Arabidopsis thaliana: one gene and its partners. The protein of the gene in region 1 interacts with the protein of each later gene in a pairwise test. Each region holds a gene or a part of one and is shown in the gene's direction. Other genes may lie near its edges. The genes, in order: AT4G00980, TY1, AT5G08650 and AT4G15700.

Evidence for each region.
Region 2: the proteins of AT4G00980 (region 1) and TY1 interact in a two-hybrid assay, tested with the Arabidopsis thaliana proteins (one large-scale study listed by BioGRID).
Region 3: the proteins of AT4G00980 (region 1) and AT5G08650 interact in a two-hybrid assay, tested with the Arabidopsis thaliana proteins (one large-scale study listed by BioGRID).
Region 4: the proteins of AT4G00980 (region 1) and AT4G15700 interact in a two-hybrid assay, tested with the Arabidopsis thaliana proteins (one large-scale study listed by BioGRID).

What each region holds. Positions count from the first base shown.
Region 1 is NC_003075.7:421,978-426,146, reverse strand, and holds AT4G00980 (zinc knuckle (CCHC-type) family protein), read left to right. Parts: upstream 1-1,558; 5' UTR 1,559-1,566; coding exon 1,567-1,890; intron 1,891-2,007; coding exon 2,008-2,098; intron 2,099-2,212; coding exon 2,213-2,303; intron 2,304-2,454; coding exon 2,455-3,415; 3' UTR 3,416-3,669; downstream 3,670-4,169.
Region 2 is NC_003070.9:28,811,136-28,814,884, reverse strand, and holds TY1 (thioredoxin Y1), read left to right. Parts: upstream 1-1,720; 5' UTR 1,721-1,936; coding exon 1,937-2,122; exon of another isoform or gene 2,123-2,397; coding exon 2,398-2,486; intron 2,487-2,677; coding exon 2,678-2,855; intron 2,856-2,946; coding exon 2,947-3,012; 3' UTR 3,013-3,200; downstream 3,201-3,749. Other genes in the region: AT1G76770 (HSP20-like chaperones superfamily protein), read right to left, coding at 507-1,093, 1,169-1,316; EC1.1 (egg cell-secreted-like protein (DUF1278)), read right to left, coding at 3,302-3,749. UniProt on the Arabidopsis thaliana protein: Thiol-disulfide oxidoreductase that poorly activates chloroplastic malate dehydrogenase (NADP-MDH) and fructose-1,6-bisphosphatase. Provides reducing equivalents for peroxiredoxin Q.
Region 3 is NC_003076.8:2,807,558-2,815,275, reverse strand, and holds the start of AT5G08650 (Small GTP-binding protein), read left to right. Parts: upstream 1-1,673; 5' UTR 1,674-2,055; coding exon 2,056-2,295; intron 2,296-2,391; coding exon 2,392-2,568; intron 2,569-2,666; coding exon 2,667-2,753; intron 2,754-2,952; coding exon 2,953-3,009; intron 3,010-3,169; coding exon 3,170-3,235; intron 3,236-3,671; coding exon 3,672-3,734; intron 3,735-4,088; coding exon 4,089-4,133; intron 4,134-4,236; coding exon 4,237-4,337; intron 4,338-4,599; coding exon 4,600-4,696; intron 4,697-4,938; coding exon 4,939-5,010; intron 5,011-5,481; coding exon 5,482-5,636; intron 5,637-5,719; coding exon 5,720-5,777; intron 5,778-6,061; coding exon 6,062-6,142; intron 6,143-6,371; coding exon 6,372-6,458; intron 6,459-6,577; coding exon 6,578-6,649; intron 6,650-6,739; coding exon 6,740-6,874; intron 6,875-6,984; coding exon 6,985-7,058; intron 7,059-7,443; coding exon 7,444-7,531; intron 7,532-7,718. Other genes in the region: AT5G08660 (D-lactate dehydrogenase (DUF668)), read right to left, coding at 1-298, 442-750. UniProt on the Arabidopsis thaliana protein: Promotes chloroplast protein synthesis. May act as a fidelity factor of the translation reaction, by catalyzing a one-codon backward translocation of tRNAs on improperly translocated ribosomes.
Region 4 is NC_003075.7:8,935,406-8,938,660, forward strand, and holds AT4G15700 (Thioredoxin superfamily protein), read left to right. Parts: upstream 1-1,952; 5' UTR 1,953-2,139; coding exon 2,140-2,448; 3' UTR 2,449-2,719; downstream 2,720-3,255.

The sequences.
Region 1 (4,169 bases):
TTTGCTGACCGGCGGAAGATTTCTCCGGCGAAGCAGTGACGGGGCATGTGCTGAAACGTTGATCTACGCTGCAATCTCCACATTGCATACATGTGTCATCATATTGTCTATTTAATGTTTGCAATTAGTGGGCTTTTGGCCTCAAGTTGTACCTGTTTATGAAGCCCATTTGGGCTAATTAATAGAAAAATGTTTGCCGTTAAAAAAAAAAAAAAAAAAGTGGTTCGATGGTCGTAAATAACTTTTATGGGTTTTGGTCTTGGGTTAGAGAATTCAAATTCATGGGCCAACCCAATTTTCATTTTAAGTGCTTCTTCTATGATGACATTTCACGAAAATAATACAATGGATTGTCGAGGAAAGAAGTGATGTTTTCTGTAAATTGTTAGGCATTAGTTATTGGAGAAGCGAAATGTGAAATGCACATTGTTTGTTGGCTATTAACTTGCTTTTAAAGGTGACTTGAACATATTTGGTGTCTTATGTTGATTCCGAAGCTATGAGTACTTTTGATCAATCTAGTTTATGAAGTTACTTTTAGCATCGCCTTCTCGATTTTGTTACTGCCATCACATGTCAAGTTGGTTTTGATGTTTTGTAAGCATTGATAAGCTTTAACGAACAAACTTTTTTTTGTTATCATTACTGCGTATTGGAGTTTTGCATTACATCTTTTGCTTCTCTTATGGCTGAGCAGGGCCGGCCCTGGGCTAAAGTTGGTGAAACTCATGCTTTACGCGCCTAAAATTATAGATAATATTAAAGGGCATCAAATTTTAAAAATGTTTCGTAGTCTAGTGATTGTTTCATAGATTAGTGACTCTTTCGTGGACAGTTCGAACCTTACCTTCGTTTTTTTGAGACTTTAATTATAAATAGATTTAAAATGCTTAAGAATTTTAAATGAGCTTAAAGATGTTTTAGGCATCAAAATCTGTTGGGTTAGCCCTCTGGCTGAGTCTGAGCTCGCAGCATGCAATACTAATTTCTTAAGCTGCAATGCAGTGAGAAGACAAGTAAAACAAGATTAACATTAGCCCAAACTAGATTATTCACAACAAATGTTAATGACTATTACCTTGCTATCTTTATATTTAGCCTCTTTTGTTTGAGCTTAATTTTCAAAAATAATTTGCTTTCTGTCGGTTTAGTTTCTAGAAGGATTCGACTCTTAGTATCTTATCGGCTTCGTGAAGAAAAACTGTATTTCACCCATATATTTCTCAATCGTATTCGTATCTCACCCATGTATTCATATATCGTATTATAAAACAGAAAAGATATATAGATAAGGAAAAAAAACTCATATATATATATTTGCATATATAAAGTATTAAATGCAACAGCTATAGCAAAAAGGTTCTATGGTCTAGCGGTTAGGACATTGGACTCTGAATCCAGTAACCCGAGTTCAATTCTCGGTAGAACCTCTTTTTTTCACACTCCGGCCAAATTTTTTCCCCCGGCGATTTATGAACCCTAAATATAACGCCGGCCAACAACCAAAACTCGACGCTACTGCGAAATCTTTTTCTTTATCCTTTTTTTTCTTCTTTTTCGGGCGAAATGGAGAATTCGTTGCTTGATTCTGGTGAAACTATGGAGATTGTCGCTACACAAAAAATCGAGGAAACAGTGAAGAGCATACTCAGTGAATCTGATATGGACCAAATGACGGAGTTCAAACTCCGACTTGACGCTTCGGCTAAACTCGGTATCGACTTATCGGGAACCAATCACAAGAAGCTAGTCAGAGATGTTCTTGAGGTCTTTTTGCTATCGACTCCCGGTGAAGCACTCGTACCGGAGACGGTGGCTCCGGCGAAAAATGAGACAGTTTCTGTTGCTGCCGCTTCCGTTGGTGGTGAAGATGAGCGCTTTATTTGTAAGGTTGCGACTTTGCCTATTTGTTCTATGTTTGATTCACTGTATAGAGTAGAGATTGTGATCATCTCGATTTTGAGTTTTTCAGTGGTCACTGTAGAAATTGTTGGTCTTTAACTGTAGTTATCGGAGAAGCAAAATGCGACGGTTCAAAGATACAGAGGCCAACCTTTTCTATCGATTGGTTCTCAGGAACATGGAAAGGCTTTTAGAGGTAATTTGAAACACAACTTGGTGTCTTGGTCTTGACTATGAAGCTATAAGTAGCCATTTTTGTTTTAGATATGCTCCTGTTGATTTCAATTGTTAGATGTTTCTTCTCTGTCAGGAGCACATTTGTCAACTAACCAATGGTCTGTAATCAAGAAGAATTTTGCAGCGATAGAGGACGGTATTAAGCAGTGCCAATCAAAACTAAAGTAAGAATGTGTACCTTATTTTAAGTCTATAAAGATTCATGTTCCCTGGCATTGCTTTTAGTGTTTTATGGTCATATAATCATCGTGGCATAGGGCATTACTGTCTGGCTAGCAATGTAGGCTGCTTATCTTGCTATTAAACGTTATGCAGATCTGAAGCAGCACGAAATGGAGATACTTCTGAGGCTGTGGATAAGGACAGCTCTCACGGTTTTTCTGTTATCAAGATTTCACGATTTGATGGAAAGAGTTATCTTTACTGGGCTTCACAGATGGAACTCTTTCTGAAGCAATTGAAGCTGACTTATGTACTCTCTGAACCTTGTCCCAGTATTGGTAGCTCTCAAGGCCCTGAAACCAACCCCAGGGAAATAACTCGAGCTGATGCTACGGGGAAAAAATGGTTGAGAGATGATTACCTGTGCTATACTCACTTGATGAACTCCTTGTCAGATCATCTATACCGTCGATACTCTCAGAAATTTAAGCATGCCAAAGAATTGTGGGACGAGTTAAAATGGGTCTACCAGTGTGATGAATCCAAATCGAAGAGGTCACAAGTCAGAAAGTACATTGAATTCAGAATGGTGGAAGAGAGACCGATACTCGAGCAAGTCCAAGTCTTTAACAAGATTGCGGATTCCATAGTGAGTGCTGGTATGTTTCTTGATGAGGCATTTCATGTGAGTACCATCATCTCCAAGTTTCCCCCGTCTTGGAGAGGCTTCTGCACCAGGTTAATGGAAGAGGAGTATTTACCAGTCTGGATGTTGATGGAACGAGTAAAAGCTGAGGAAGAGCTTCTCAGAAATGGAGCAAAAGGGGTTACATATAGACCAGCCACAGGCTCCTCTCAGATGGAAAGGACACCGAGTCTAGGAACAACACATAGAGGATCTCAGAGCGTAGGTTGGAAGAGGAAAGAACCTGAGAGAGACGAGAGAGTCATCATCGTCTGTGACAACTGTGGGAGGAAAGGACATCTCGCAAAGCATTGCTGGGGTAGTAAATCTGATGAGAGAGCTTCCGGAAAATCAAACCGGATCAACTCCTCAGTCGCTGCACCTGTGGAATCAGAGACTCAAGCAACAACAAACAATGATAGGGGGTAGTAGTTGATGATTGCTGAAGCCAAAATGTTTATATCTCTTCACAGATATACTTAAAGAGGTAAGTCTTTTGAATACCGTTGATTCAGGATTCAGAAGCAGTCCTTTTATGACCTTTTTTCAGCTTGTCCATATGTCTGGCCTATTAGATTTATGACACTGAAATGTATAAAAGAAGAACAGAGAGATGACCAATAGATCAGTTTTGGCCTGATTTAATGTAAAAGTATACTTTTATGAATGATAATTTTTTTGTCAAAATTGCTTTTTAAATCCTATTTTGAGGAACCAAAATAAAAACAGAAACCTCAAAACTGATATACAAACAAATAAACTGACATCAATTGAGGTGACAATACTTAACACACAACCAAAAATTAAGAGTTTCTTTGTCCCAAGCGTTATGGAAGATATTCTCAGCCTCTAAAATTAAACTTGAACGTCGAAATTTTAAAAAGGACCAGATGGAGAGTAATATAAAATTAGCGGGTGAAAAATAGAAGAAATTAAAAGTTTCAGGGTGAAAAGGAAAAAAAATGAAACCTGTCAGACCGCCGTGCGACCACCCCGGCAAGGGAGAACCGAGCCGAGTAACCATCCTCTACAGCACCGGATGCATCCAAGGACAATCGTAGCCGTCAATCACGCTCAAGCCGCACGGTCACGGTTCATCAACAAGGGTTTAGGGCCTGTCTCTTGAGAAATTTTCTCAAGAAAACAGATGTACGAGCCTATAGTTCAAGTAAGGTCGTGACCA
Region 2 (3,749 bases), on another chromosome or scaffold:
CCAACGAATCACACCAAAGATTAGGGTGAATCCAACAAGCAGATGCAACAACACATGAATAATGAAATCTCAAAAAGGAAGAAGAAGAGAACAGAGAGGCAAACGAAGCAGACAGAAATCGAAGAAGAGAATTGAAAAAAATGCAGAGCAATTGTGTTTTTAACTTGAGAGGAGACGCGAGACGCAGGTATATAAATTTATTTGTTTGACATTCAAGTTTCCTTTTTTCCTTTTCACTTAGGGTTTGTTATAGTCCAGAGCAAACACAAACCTTAGGTTCGGTGATAATCTAGCCGTTATACACGGTTCGGGTCAAATACTTTCCATTTATTAGCTGATACGCTCCTACTAATTTTTGGTTTAGATACTGATTGTATTTTGATTGTATTACACGTTGACTTTTATTGTTTTAAAGAACAAGGCTAAGAAGAACAGATAATAAGAAAGTGGGTTCTATCCTTAAAAACCAACAAGAACCCTATCTTAAAAACCTAAGGAGTGTGGTTTCATTTATTTCTGGATTGAATCAGTTGAATAATGAAAACAATAATAGACATAAGCAGAGTGGATCCTGCAAAACATGGTAAACGAAACTTTTTTCTTCTCTTCTTTCTTGGTTTATCTTCGATTTCTTCTTCTTTTTTCCCCTCATGATCTCTTGTTCCTTCCTCAACAACCTCTTCTTCCTCTTCTCTCTGTGGCTCTTCTGCTTCTTCGTTTTCTTCCTCAGGTTTTGTCTCTTCTTTGATTTCTTCTTCTGGTTCTGTTTTCTCCTCTGTTTTCTCTTCTACTATCGGCTCTTTCATCTCCTCTTCTTCGTCCTCTTCCTCGATCTTCAGACCGGTAATTCCCTTAACTTTCTTAGGCATTGTAACAGTTAAAGTCCCATCTTCTTCATTAAACCTCGCTTTGATCTTGTCAAGAATTACAATATCTGGAATCCGAAACACTTTTTTGAATTCCTTTATTTCTGTTTCCTTTTTCCATTCCACCCACTTTACCAAAACCATCTCTTCAACCTGTTTTCTTCCGCTGATCTTAATCAGATTCCCTTCTTTGTTTATCTCGATATCGATACCATCCTTCTTAAATCCTGCATTTGGTTTTCAATCTCAATCTCTATGCTAGGTAAGAAAAAAAGGTGAATAAATATGAGAGGGAATAGAACCTTTGAGATGAAGAATGAGGAAGAAAACAGAGTTGGTTTCTCGAGAAAGTGAACGATGACCAAAAGAATCTCTGGCAACCCGAAAATCTGTAGAGGAAGAAACATCGTCTTTAGTCCGAGTGATCTTCAGACCTAATTCAAGCTCCATCTTTTTTAGTTGTGAGCTTCTTTTGATACATCTGTTTTTAGTTTTTGCTAAAGTCTCTCTCTAGTCCACACTTTTCTAGTTTTGTTTAAATTAGGCTATTTCATATCGTTTCTTTGAAGAGGCCCACAAGAACATATTCGTAACTTCCATCTTCAGGAAACTCAAAAACGGAGTCGTGAGTTTTGTCTTTTGTTACCCTCAACGGTTTTAACTGTCCCAGTTGCGTTGGCGGGAAGTAACAGCTATCTTTATAGTACTAGTTGATAATGATAACCCTTTGCGATTGCATTTACAATGAGATCTGTCATGTCATATGATTGAGCCTGAAGATTGTGAGCAAAAAGTTAAATTGAAGAGTGATCGGTGTTTGGGAACGGGCCTATAACATGTGGGCCTAGAACATGTTTGTGGGCCTATAACAAAAAAGATACGGTGTACTTGACCGTAGTGGATCATCATTGTCTTTCTAGTACCTTGTGTCATTTTCTTTCAGAGTTCGTTCTCTCTTTTTGGTCAATTCGAGTTTTTTTTCCACAAGTGTCCAACTTTTTTTGTCATCATCAACCTAACCAACCGCCAACGCCGAATCAAGAGATCGTTTGTTTTTTTCTGATTCTTTCATGGCGTCAATTTCTCTCTCTTCTTCTACGGTTCCGTCGCTGAATTCGAAAGAATCGTCAGGTGTTTCTGCTTTCGCTTCTCGTTCTATCTCGGCCGTCAAATTTCAGTTTCCGGTTCGTCGGGTTCGAACCGGAGACTTAAAGTTTCCATCTTTATCTTCAACGACTCGATGCACTCCTCGACGTGTAATCGCCTTTCTCTGCTTAAACATCTTTTTCCAAAGCTTATATTTTGTTCAATTCTAGCTTACTTAATTTTACCCTATGAATTATTGAATTCAAGCTTCAAACTTTCTTCTGATGGTAGAGCTGATGATAGCTTTCCTATTTTGAAATTTTTCTTATTTTAGTTTCTATAGCTGATTTTCTCTAGAGTTTGGAATTGATTTAAAGTGAGTGCCTTTATCTACTTCTTGATTTAGATTGAACTAAATGACAAACCATTCTTGTTCATACTTCAGATTGAAGCCAAGAAGCAGACATTTGACTCATTTGAGGATCTGCTTGTGAACTCTGATAAACCAGTTCTAGTTGACTATTATGCAACCTGGTGAGTTTGTTTTGGTGTCAAATGATAACATGTGTTAGTTGAGTGGTCATCAACCAGTTCTAGTTGACTATTATTCATCATGAATGAGTATACTTGGTCTATGTTGGGATCCAGTGTAGTCTGTTTGCTTATTATCGAGTTTATTTGTTAAACAGATGATTTGGAATCAGAATGTACTGTTTGTTTGGCAGGTGTGGTCCTTGCCAGTTCATGGTTCCAATACTCAATGAAGTGAGTGAAACCCTGAAAGACAAGATACAGGTGGTGAAGATTGATACCGAAAAATACCCCAGTATTGCTAATAAATACAAGATTGAGGCACTTCCTACTTTCATCCTATTCAAAGATGGGGAACCTTGTGATCGCTTTGTATGATGACTTCAATGCCTTTGAATTTCTTCATTTTCGTTTTAAGGTTCTTAATCTCACTCACAAACGTTTCTTTTTTTGTGATTTCCAGGAGGGTGCTTTGACGGCCAAACAACTCATTCAACGAATTGAGGATTCTCTAAAAGTGAAGCCATAGTTGGATCATGAACTCTTTTTTAATTATTTGTATGTTTTTCAACTGTCCCTGACCTATTCAGGACTTAGTGATAGCGATGTTTTTCGGTTGATTTAACTTGGAGAATTTGAGAAGAAGAAGATTATGTTTGCCAGATTTGTAAAACCTTGTTGTGAGTAATGATGATCTTTTATTCTCAAAAGTAATAACAGAGACGCTATTTTTCAAGCATTCGTCACCAGTTACATAAAGATTAAAATTCTCTTAGCAAAAGAAAACATAGCAGGAGTGTAAAGATGAATACTAAGACTCAAGGGTTAGAAGGAGAAGCAGAAGATCTAACAACGGTAGTCTTGAAATTCACGGAGAGAGGCAGTGTTGAGGAGGCAAGAGCATGGTCTTCACCATTGTTGTCAGAGTCATTGCCATCACAGTAACCTTGGAGCATATCACCTTCTTGAGCAGTAAAACCAAGAACACCAATCATAGTAGGCCAACACTTGCGTCCAATGGTTCTTATAGCACTGCAACACCCAGGGCCAATGTAAGTCTCACCGTTGAGGAAGAACAAGATCAGCTCTCCAGAACAGTGTTGGAGCTGCATCAGTGAGTCCCAGCAGTACCCTGTATCTTCATCAAGCTTGAGCCTGTACACAAGGCTTGTGGTAGGAGAAGACGTCCCCATGGATGGTTTCATGAGAGGGCGAGCTGTCACTGTGGAGGAAGCCACCATGAGCATGAGAGTCACAATGTTGAAG
Region 3 (7,718 bases), on another chromosome or scaffold:
CAAGTCTGAGTAGTTCATCGAAATCATTCGAGACTAGGTTTTGAACACCCTCAGAATAAAGGATAGTTCCTTTTAAATGCTCGATGTTCCTCTTAGAAAGGGATTCAATGAGATTTGAGCTTTTGACAATTGTGTTTGCTACTTCAAAAGCTAAGATCCCAAGTTCATTGCCTTTAGTTGCAACTCCAGAAGTAAATCCACCGCTACTAAGATCTGTCATGCTACTTCCAAGGGTATCCAAAACATCTTTTGCTCTACCTAACCCCGCTTTGCCTAAAAGCTTACTTGCCTCTGTAACCTGCCACAGTATAGCAAATTCGGATTGGTCTCACGACATTTCAGGACTTCTAAACTTAAAAGACACTTGCCGTTACTAAGAGACAATGCTTTAACTCTTAATCTTAGTTGCTAAAAAAGGAGCTTCATTTGGTCCATACTAACCTTTGAAACAGCGGTTTGAGTTGATTTTGCAGACCGAATTTTCTGTGATGGAGCCATAGTATACGTCGGAATTCCATCATAGAAATTATCTTCAGCTTCCCTTTCGCGGAAAGAGAAAACATCTTTTAATTGATTTTGTTCCTTGACGTCTTTAACCATAAGCTGCCTCATACCAGGAACAATCAAACTGGTTTGCCCATTTGGTTGTGAGTGGCCAAAATCAGGTTCTCGACCATCATCAGCCACACTAGAACCAGAATACTCGCTGCCAAAATTGATTCCAAGGCTCTTGGAGCAAAAACTCCCCATAACTCTTTTCCAAAGACCTTTAAGCTAAGTTATCGAAAAGATCATGCCACTGTGGGGAAGAGTAATAACCTAGAACAAAGGAAAAAGTCAGATCAAGAGACTCAAGGAGACCAAATCTTCCAAACTAAATTAGTAACACAGAGATAGGATCGTGTCCGAAATAGTTTAAGACATTGTAATCGCCTTGGGGGAAATTAACAGATTCACATAAAGCCAAAGCCGTTCACGAAGTAAAAGCCTTTAAGTCAAACACTGTGCAAGTCTTCTTTCTCCAAAAAACCTAAGCAAGATCGTATTTTGAGGAGAGGAATGCGAAGAAGAAGACTTACCCAGTAGAGAAAAAGACCAGAAAAGACTTGGGCCAAGCCAATTTCGGAGGTATAGAGCTTGGGATTCACGACACACAACAGTGAAAAGACAAAAGAGACAAAGGAACCTCGAACACGAGAGAATTGATGTTAAAAAGGAGAAAGTCAAGGAGAGTAGTATGAACTAGGAACGAAGGAAGAAATCAGAAAAACAAAAATTAAAAGAGAGATTGGACCACACCAAATTGGCATCAGCTAAAGCCAAATTGAAACAACCAGCTTGATAAAGAAACAAACGAAGAAAAGTCTAAACCTTTTTTCTTTTAATCTCCTCACACTCCATGTTAATAAAAAGAGTCACAGGCGGTGATGGATTGGTCAAATCGTCCCTTATTACCACGCCATTGACTCATTTTGTGCTCTGTCTTTTTACATTCCGTGCAAGTAAAAAACTCATCTTTACTTTCAATCCCTCACTCCTCTTACTTCTAAACCGAAATTGCGCTAAAAGGTTAGGACTTTTCATAGGGATTAAATTAGTCTTAAAAGGCATGTGAAGATCTTATATAAGAAATGATTAAACACTAATCAACTCATCATTGAATAAAAAAGAGTCTTATATTCTCAAAATGCATGATTTCTGGTTCATCGAATCAAATCATAGCACAACAATATTGAACAAAAAGCTTATTTCTATGTTTTTTGACATTTGATGTTCTACTTCGAATATTTTTGGGTTTAGAATTATCTGATTTAAAATCAATTTATTTGATCTTGTTCAGTTTCATTAAATTTGTGGTCTAATTTCGGTTTAATTCACACAAAACAAATTCGTTATTTTAAGAAAACAGATTTGGATCGAATCGGGTCGGGTGGGTTAGAATCCGATGGACAGGCCCAATTGGATACAGTGGCCCAGTTACATAGTCTGTGGCTCAGGATACTTTGAATTTCTCTCAAAACAGTAGAGAGAGGTGTAGAGAGCTTAGACAGTGCCATGGCCATGGCTTCTGCTATGGACTTATCTTCTCCTCCAACGTTTTTCTTATCCGGAACTTCTACATCTTCCCCATCTCTCCGTCGTCTCTCCTCCATTTCCGTCTCTGGATTCCGCCGTCACTCTAATCGGAAGTTACAGATACTTTGCCAAGCCACAGCTGGAACTGAGCCTCAGAGCGGTCTCTCTGTCTCTGGCTCCAAATTAGCCGCCCGTTCTGGTCAAGACCGTCTTTTGAAGGTCGGGTTCTGTTTTGTTCTCTCTCTTCATCCGTGTGCCGAAACTTGAGAAGAATTTGGATTTTTTTTGAAACTGAATTTGTTATGAAATTCGCAGGTTCCAATTTCGAACATCAGGAATTTTAGTATTATAGCTCATATTGATCATGGGAAATCTACGTTAGCGGATAAGTTGCTTCAGGTGACTGGTACTGTTCAGAACAGAGATATGAAGGAGCAGTTTCTTGATAACATGGACTTAGAGAGAGAACGAGGCATCACTATCAAGCTTCAGGTTTTTCTTTCAATCGCTTTCTCTGCACAATCAAAAATCAGTTTCGATAAGATTGCTCAACGGTCTGATTTGTAACTTTGCGGTGTATGTTTGTGTAGGCAGCTCGAATGCGTTATGTTTATGAAGATACACCGTTTTGCCTCAACTTGATAGATACTCCAGGTCATGTTGATTTCTCTTACGAGGTACTTACAATATTCTAATCTACTTATTGTCTACGGATACATTTGAAGCTTAGCCTTATAGTTATTTTTCATATGTGAGAAGTTACTTGGTTTGAGTGTTATATATCACCTAAAAGCGTAATTTTTTTTACAGTTAGGAATATACACAAACTATTAAGTTGCAGTTTTGATGAAGAATGCACTGTTTATTTGTACATAGGTTTCCCGATCTCTTGCTGCTTGCGAGGGTGCTCTTCTTGTTGTGGATGCATCCCAGGTGATTTTTCTTTCTCTTGACATACAATTTTCTGACACGCTGTGGAAACCTGGAATCTGTATTGTTTATGCCGTTTTTTCGCTTGGTAATTTCGTTCTTTTCTGATGGTTACATACTTACATTACTGAAAAACTTAAACTTCCTCTATCATGTGCTTTAGGGTGTGGAAGCACAAACATTGGCTAATGTGTATTTGGCCTTGGAAAACAACCTCGAAATTATTCCCGTAAGTACGGAATTATGCTTCATCTTATTAGCTATATGTGCTAGTTATCATCATTCCTTTTAACAAATCACATTTCAACTATATGTGGTAGTTATCATCATTCTTTCCTTCGTCTCATCTCCATGGAAGATTATTTAAAAATGTCAATGTCGTTTTATTTAAAAGAAGTCGGAGTCTGCAATAAGTTAACTTTCAAACAAGGCAAATATGTTAAAAAAAATAGGTAGTATCACTCTGGCAGTACATAGAAGATGCGTAGTAAAGAAAAGAATAGCTAGTCTAGGATAAAATGATTATATCATTTAACGTTTCATTATTGCTTCAACCTGATTCATGACTATACAGGAAATAATAATGTAAGGTGGTTTATTCTTCTTTCAAATATTTGGTCTGCATACCAGAGTTTAAAGCAAATGAACTCTACTTCTTCCTGCAGGTTTTAAATAAGATTGACCTTCCAGGCGCTGAGCCAGAGAAAGTTCTCAGGGAGATTGAGGAGGTTGGTGATTATGTTCATTGTGTTACCCATTTTATGATGTTCGTATTCAATAGCAATCATACAATGCAACCAGTAATAATTTGAACAGTATTCCTTTTTGGGTGTCTGCAAAAACTCTTCAGTCTTTTATTTTTCTGTTGTCAATATGTTATCTTGACATTTTACAAGGTTCTAGCTTCTAGTATTAGATATTATGTTGATTATTGCGGTACATTCTTTTATGCTTTAAACATTTTCTTTGTGATATTATGATCCAGTCTCATGTTCCTCGAATGGGGTAATTGTCTCATTGCTGCAATTTCAGAGACATCAGCCTTTATGTGAACACTGATTGATAATTCATATTGTTTGTAGGTTATTGGGTTAGATTGTAGCAAAGCGATATTCTGTTCGGCAAAGGTTAGATTTTAAAATTGTTTTGCTATTCTGCTACCCAAAAATTAAGACGTGTGGCTTTCTATCCATTCAATTACAATTTTTGGGGAATAATATATACACGCAGGAGGGAATTGGTATTACCGAGATTTTGGATGCAATTGTTCAAAGGATACCTGCACCTCTCGATACTGCAGGAAAGCCCTTAAGAGCTTTAATTTTTGACAGGTTTGCACTTGTTGTTTTTATTCATAACGATTTTTGCCTTTTCTAGAGAAAACAGTATGAAATTGAGTCTTGGAGTCGAAGTTGTATTCGTATATAATGATTGGACTGATCATTGGCATGTCAAGTCAGTACCAGTTAATCACTGGTGAACTAAAAATGAGTGTGAAATACTCGTGTTTGTTTTGCTTGATTAGTCTACAAGTGTGCAGTTTTTATATGTGAACTACTTTATATTTTTCGTCCAAAATTCATTTTGCTGCAGTTATTATGATCCATATCGTGGTGTCATTGTATACTTTCGAGTTATCGATGGGAAAGTGAAGAAAGGCGACAGAATTTTTTTCATGGCAAGCGGAAAGGTTTATCTCTTTTACTCTACTGTACTGTCTTTCTATTTAATCGAGATAGCTTTCCATTTGCCAATAATGAATTGAATGTAATTTGTGCATGAGATAGGTTTTCGCGGTCTATTTGAATAAAGCGATGTGAAGTGTTATTCTATAATTCTTTCAGGAAAAATTTGAGAATGTTTAAGCTTTTAAGAACGCTTACTTGTGTTTCACTAGTATCCTTCATGTTCTCAGTTTTGCATCAATTGCAGGATTATTTTGCGGATGAAGTCGGAGTTCTATCTCCAAATCAAATTCAAGTGGATGAATTATATGCGGGTGAGGTAGTGTACTCTTTTGAACATAATATTTTGTTTGTTTTGTTTACTTTCCTGTGCATCCATGTCCCATTTTCTTGTTGAATTTTTTTCTTTCAGCAGAAACCTTGGTATTATGAAATGAAAATGTCAGTATTCTTTTGCAGTTTCCGCCGTTCTATTCCAACACATGTTAATAGGAAAACTAAAAGCGTTTGTAAATGGAAGGATTTTCTTAGCATTTCCTTGTAGCAGCTTTGGCAGAAGATAGAGTTGTGGTTAATAACAATTTGAATGCAATGAAACAAATATGTTTTCACTTTTCTTGTTTGGCTATATTTGAGAAGAAATGGTTAGTTGCATCTTCCCTTGCTCAAGTTCTAATAGCTAGAAAGATGTTTTTAGCACTGATTGATGCTGCTGGTGTATATCAGATATGCCTGAATATCATGCCACATTTCTTGCACATATTTTAAAGGTTACTGTCCTTAAATACAGGTAGGATATATTGCGGCTTCTGTAAGATCTGTTGCAGATGCCAGGGTAGGAGATACAATAACACATTATAGCAGAAAGGCAGAAAGCTCTTTACCTGGTTACGAGGAAGCTACCCCTATGGTGTTCTGTGGTCTTTTTCCAGTTGACGCTGACCAGTACTGAGTTTTTGTTTTTCATTGTTGACTTTTTGCTTTTTCATTTTGTATTTTTTTTTTTCACACCTGGTCTATGATGGCAGGTTTCCCGATCTTCGCGATGCATTGGAAAAACTGCAACTCAATGATGCTGCATTGAAGGTATAGTAGAATTAAATGACAGAAACAACATTTTTCTTTCATCTGTACCCAGAATAATTTGCACGGACGAAACAACTATGGTCTTCGTATGCTTACTTAGCCAATGTATGTTTATGCCCAGTTGGCTTCGAATTGGAAAGTAAAATTGTGTTTTGCAAAGAACTGGTCTTCAGTCCTCTATTGTATGTATCTTTGTTAAAAATATTCACATTTGGTCTAAGGAGCGTATACGTTAGCATTAACATATCTATAGGTTTGTCCTCAACTTGGTTTTTATCCTGCAGTTTGAGCCTGAAACTTCGAGTGCCATGGGATTTGGCTTTAGATGCGGGTTTTTGGGTCTTCTCCACATGGAAATTGTGCAGGTCAGATATGTTTCGCTCTTCTTGTTCTAAAGTGTTTTTGGTGCGTCTCTGACTGAAAATTTCCTATGCAACAGAAGATAGAGAAAAGAAATTCATAGATACTGAGTTATCTGTTAGTATTTTACTTATTTACAGTTTCCTCCCCGATAGATACCCGCCATAAATTATACTCAACAAAGTGAATTATATCATTCTTTGTTCTTACGCTCCAGTTCACTCTTCTTCACAGGAAAGGCTAGAGAGGGAGTACAACTTAAATCTTATTACCACAGCTCCAAGTGTTGTTTATAGGGTGAACTCTGTAAATGGTGATACTGTAATTTCCTCTTGATCCCAAACTTTTAAATATTCTTCTTTGTTCCCTGAAAATCGCATCCTTTTGTCTTTCTTTCTTGATCTAGAGCCTTATTACCTGTGAAATCAATTTTACTGCAGACTTTGTGCTCAAATCCATCACGCCTTCCAGATCCTGGGCAAAGGAAATCGGTCGAGGAGCCATACGTTAAGGTTGCCTTTTCTACTGGAGATATTGCTGATAAGTTCACACACCACATTTCGTAGAATTACATTTCCTTACTGCAAAACCATTTTATACAGATTGAACTGCTCACACCAAAAGACTATATTGGTGCGCTTATGGAGCTCGCTCAAGAGAGGAGAGGGGAGTTCAAAGAAATGAAATATATAGCTGAGAACAGAGCTTCAATCCTCTATGAGTTACCTCTTGCAGAGGTGAGATCTCTGCTTGTGCAGAGTTAAGATAACCCCAATGAAAGTTTAGCCATGTCTCTCTTGATTATGTAAACTGATCTTCTTGTTAATCGCTCCCTGCCATTTTGCAGATGGTGGGTGATTTCTTTGACCAATTGAAGTCGAGAACCAAGGGATATGCTAGCATGGAATACTCCGTTATTGGGTTAGATCTTTCAACTTTTAATACACAGATCTTTCTCTTACTTTGTGATGCTTGCCTTCTATTTTTGTTGATTAACAAAGAAATGCGTCAGCTTTTTTGTGAAGATAAGAATCTATATTCTTTTCATAGTAATCCCAAAGTGATAAACAAGTATCTAAAATATATATATTTGCTTAGCAGCATCAGATCAATTTCAATCAGGTTAATTATCGTGTTGCTCTCTATCGTTAAATTTGGTAGCCCTTCTTTATACAAGTTAACTACTCAGCTTCGTCAGTTTCCATTTAAGCTTAATACATAATATGTTTCTTTTGCTCTTTTTGATGTCTTTCTTACCATCTTAAGGTATTCAACTTTTTTTTTTTGTCTTGTAATATGTGAGCAGGTACAGGGAAAGTGATCTGATAAAACTCGATATTCTGATTAATGCTGAAATGGTGGAACCTTTGTCAACCATCGTACACAGGGATAAGGTTATTTTGCTTAAGCTCTTTAATATGAACTTTTATGAATACAGCATACATACGCACTCTTACACCTGAATACAAAAATTTGGTTCAGCAATCTCATTGATACAATTTCACTTGCCCAAAAAGTTTGGATAAGTAGATTGATGGAAACACGAGGCGCTGCCAACTATCTTTTACACATCTCTGATTG
Region 4 (3,255 bases), 8.5 Mb from region 1:
TAGGTAATAGAATGTAAAGCCTTAATTATGGGAATTGGTTCATACGAGTAATTTCACATAATGGACTTAGAAAGATATCTAACTTTTTATAAAGAAAAATTCTTACACTAATAAGGGTTTGTTACAAGAAAAAAAAAGTTTATCTTAGGATTTAAATGTTAGGATCTGATGTTATTTACTTATTTAACTAGTTACAAGTAAAACTTTTGCTGCGGGCCTGCGGCTTTCGTAAATTAGTGATATGATCATATGAATGAAGCAGATCTGTGTCATCTGTCTATCTTTTTTTTTTTTAAACAATCTATCTTTAATTAAAGAAAATTTTGAATAGATGTAAACTAAATATTAAATTCTTCTCTATCCATTTAAGAAAGTTGTGGGCGTTATTGTTCAACATCATGGTAGAAAATGACGCTACTAACCATTAAAACAACAAAGTGTGTAAAGAATTGGATTCTACCATAAGAGGAACACGTTGCATTGTTACATATATTCCATGCTCTAGGACGGTACGGGCAAGTTGCAGAATAAGATGTGATTTGGCATATTACATAATGTATGTGTCGGTACATGAATCACGTACACTGAAAATGATGATAACCTTGTATTGTGATGTAACAATAAGTGACTCTTGAGATCGAAATGGGCCACCATTAATACTATTTTGAAGAGAAAAACAAAAAAAAAACTAATATTTTACATTTTTTGTATATTTTTGGTTTTAGGATATATATATACGTGGTTGCTTCACTATCATACTATCATATCCATCTTGTTGGGCACGAGCTTGAATTTCTAGCAATCTTATTCATCGAATAGGGAATAAAGTTCAATTTTGTTTTATTCTTTGACATTGCAAGATTCGATTTCATGCATGACGGTAAGGCTAAAACGGAACCACAAAGTTTGCCTTTTTCTCTCAAGTGGTTATAAAAAAACAATTCTTGAGATATTATCTCATACTCTCTCGAGTTTTCTCAAACACTGAAGCTTGCAACTCTTTTTGGCGTATCTAAAACTATGTCCAAGGCGTATCTAAAACTATGTCCAAGCTATCCAATGATTTTTACCCGATTTTCAGCAGAACACATACACTATGAAATACTATAAAGTATGATTGAAAGCATATTAGATATCGAAATATTTTTCCATATATCATGTACACATAACCGTTACAAAAAATAATTGCTATATTATTAATAATTTCTTATTAGACTCAAAAATACTGTAAGAAATATTTCAATTAATTTTGAATACTATATTAGTATAGTACACGAAATCCGATAATTTCAATTAACGACGACTTCACGATAACATGAAATCTTTTCGTATATAGGCGTCAAGACATTTATATGTCGATAATGTGTTGGATATTTTTGACGCATTCCTGACGACATATTTAGATTGAAAGTAACATTCTCAAAACCAAAAATTATTATCACAAGCCTAAATGAGCCAAAATGAAATCCGGAGTAAACACTATTAGCAATTTTCAACTTTATTTGAAACTAAAAACATATTTCGGAATTTTGAAATTTTATAAGTCAAACGAGTTTAGCAGAGATAAAACTCATTTCTGCTTTTTATCAGTGGTTTTCACAATGAAGGCCGTACTAATGAAACATGACATTATTCGTCCGTATCAATTATTCCTCATATATATCAAAGAGAGATTTTGTTTTCTGTACGTTTTACCAAATTAGTTGATAGTTTTATTCTTTAGCTGCAAGAGGGAAAAAGACTCAAAGAGTCAAGACGTGTGAACCGATAATATCCTCAGATTCTTTCGGAATACTTCGACTATCTTAATTTTCATCATTTAAAATTGTGTTCTTTTATTTCTTTACTTACAATTTGAGATATTTCATATTTGTGCTAAAGTTGATTCTCGTAGAAAAAGGCAACGTAATAAGAAAGGTTACGTACTTTAGAAAGCTATATATAAAGGACCTTACCCACTTCACTCCATCAAACACAAAAACACAGAGTCACTTCTCATTTTCACCCAAATATATCAATAATCTCTCTATAAGTTATCTAGTTTTCCCATATTCATCTCTAATCTAGCATTTTGACCAAACACACCTATTTTTCTCCTTTGCAAGACAGTTTTCAAATATCTATCACGTTATATTACTAATGGAGAATCTACAAAAGATGATCTCCGAGAAGTCGGTAGTGATCTTTAGCAAGAACTCTTGCTGCATGTCTCACACAATCAAGACTCTCTTCTTAGACCTTGGCGTGAACCCGACGATCTATGAACTCGATGAGATTAGCAGAGGAAAGGAGATAGAGCATGCATTGGCTCAGCTCGGGTGCAGCCCGACAGTGCCAGTGGTGTTCATAGGAGGGCAGCTTGTTGGTGGAGCCAATCAAGTCATGAGTCTCCATCTCAACCGCTCCCTTGTTCCAATGCTTAAGCGCGCTGGAGCTTTATGGCTTTGACTTCAAAATAAATGGAATTGCAAATGACTTAGGTTCTGAGAAACTTATTAATGTGAACAAAAAAAGGTAAAAAAAACATATACAAAAATGTATGTATGAGTTTATTACTATATATGTCTATCTATCTAAGTTTTCAAAAGATAGATTATGCGGTTACCTATTTTGTAAACATGCATCTAAGAGATATTTATATTTTATAATAAAAATCAGCAACATTTGGATTTCTCCTTTTTCCCAATTCATATTTATATAATTTTGTATACATATATGCATCTAGAAATGAATACACGTGCACTGAATATAGATGATTTTTTATGGTGTAAAGGAAAAAAGAAAGAATATATAACTATTTATGCAGAACATGCGCCAAGACATAATAATTAATTTAAAAATTTGAAGAAGGCATATTTTATAGGCTAAGAATATTGTATTTGTATCTGCCACAAATTAAAAAGCGATGACGAGTCTGAATCGTGTGTAATGTCAAGCCTTAACTTTTCAAACGAAATTCTTACAATGATATGCAACTGTTAATAAATGTTAGGCGTGATTGTCAACTGAATTAGCTAGTTACAACTTACAAGTGTAAAAATACAGGAGATTGCGTAAATTTGAGATATGGATCTTAGAACAACTCTATAATCAATTAAAGAAATTTAGAATTAAGGTAAATCAATCATTAAATTCTTCACTGTCTATCTACAGAAACATTGTTGAACATCATGATAAAAAATGACGTTTCTAACCATTAAAATAACAAAGTGTGTAAGGAATTGGATTCTGCCATATAAGGAAAATCTTTGCATT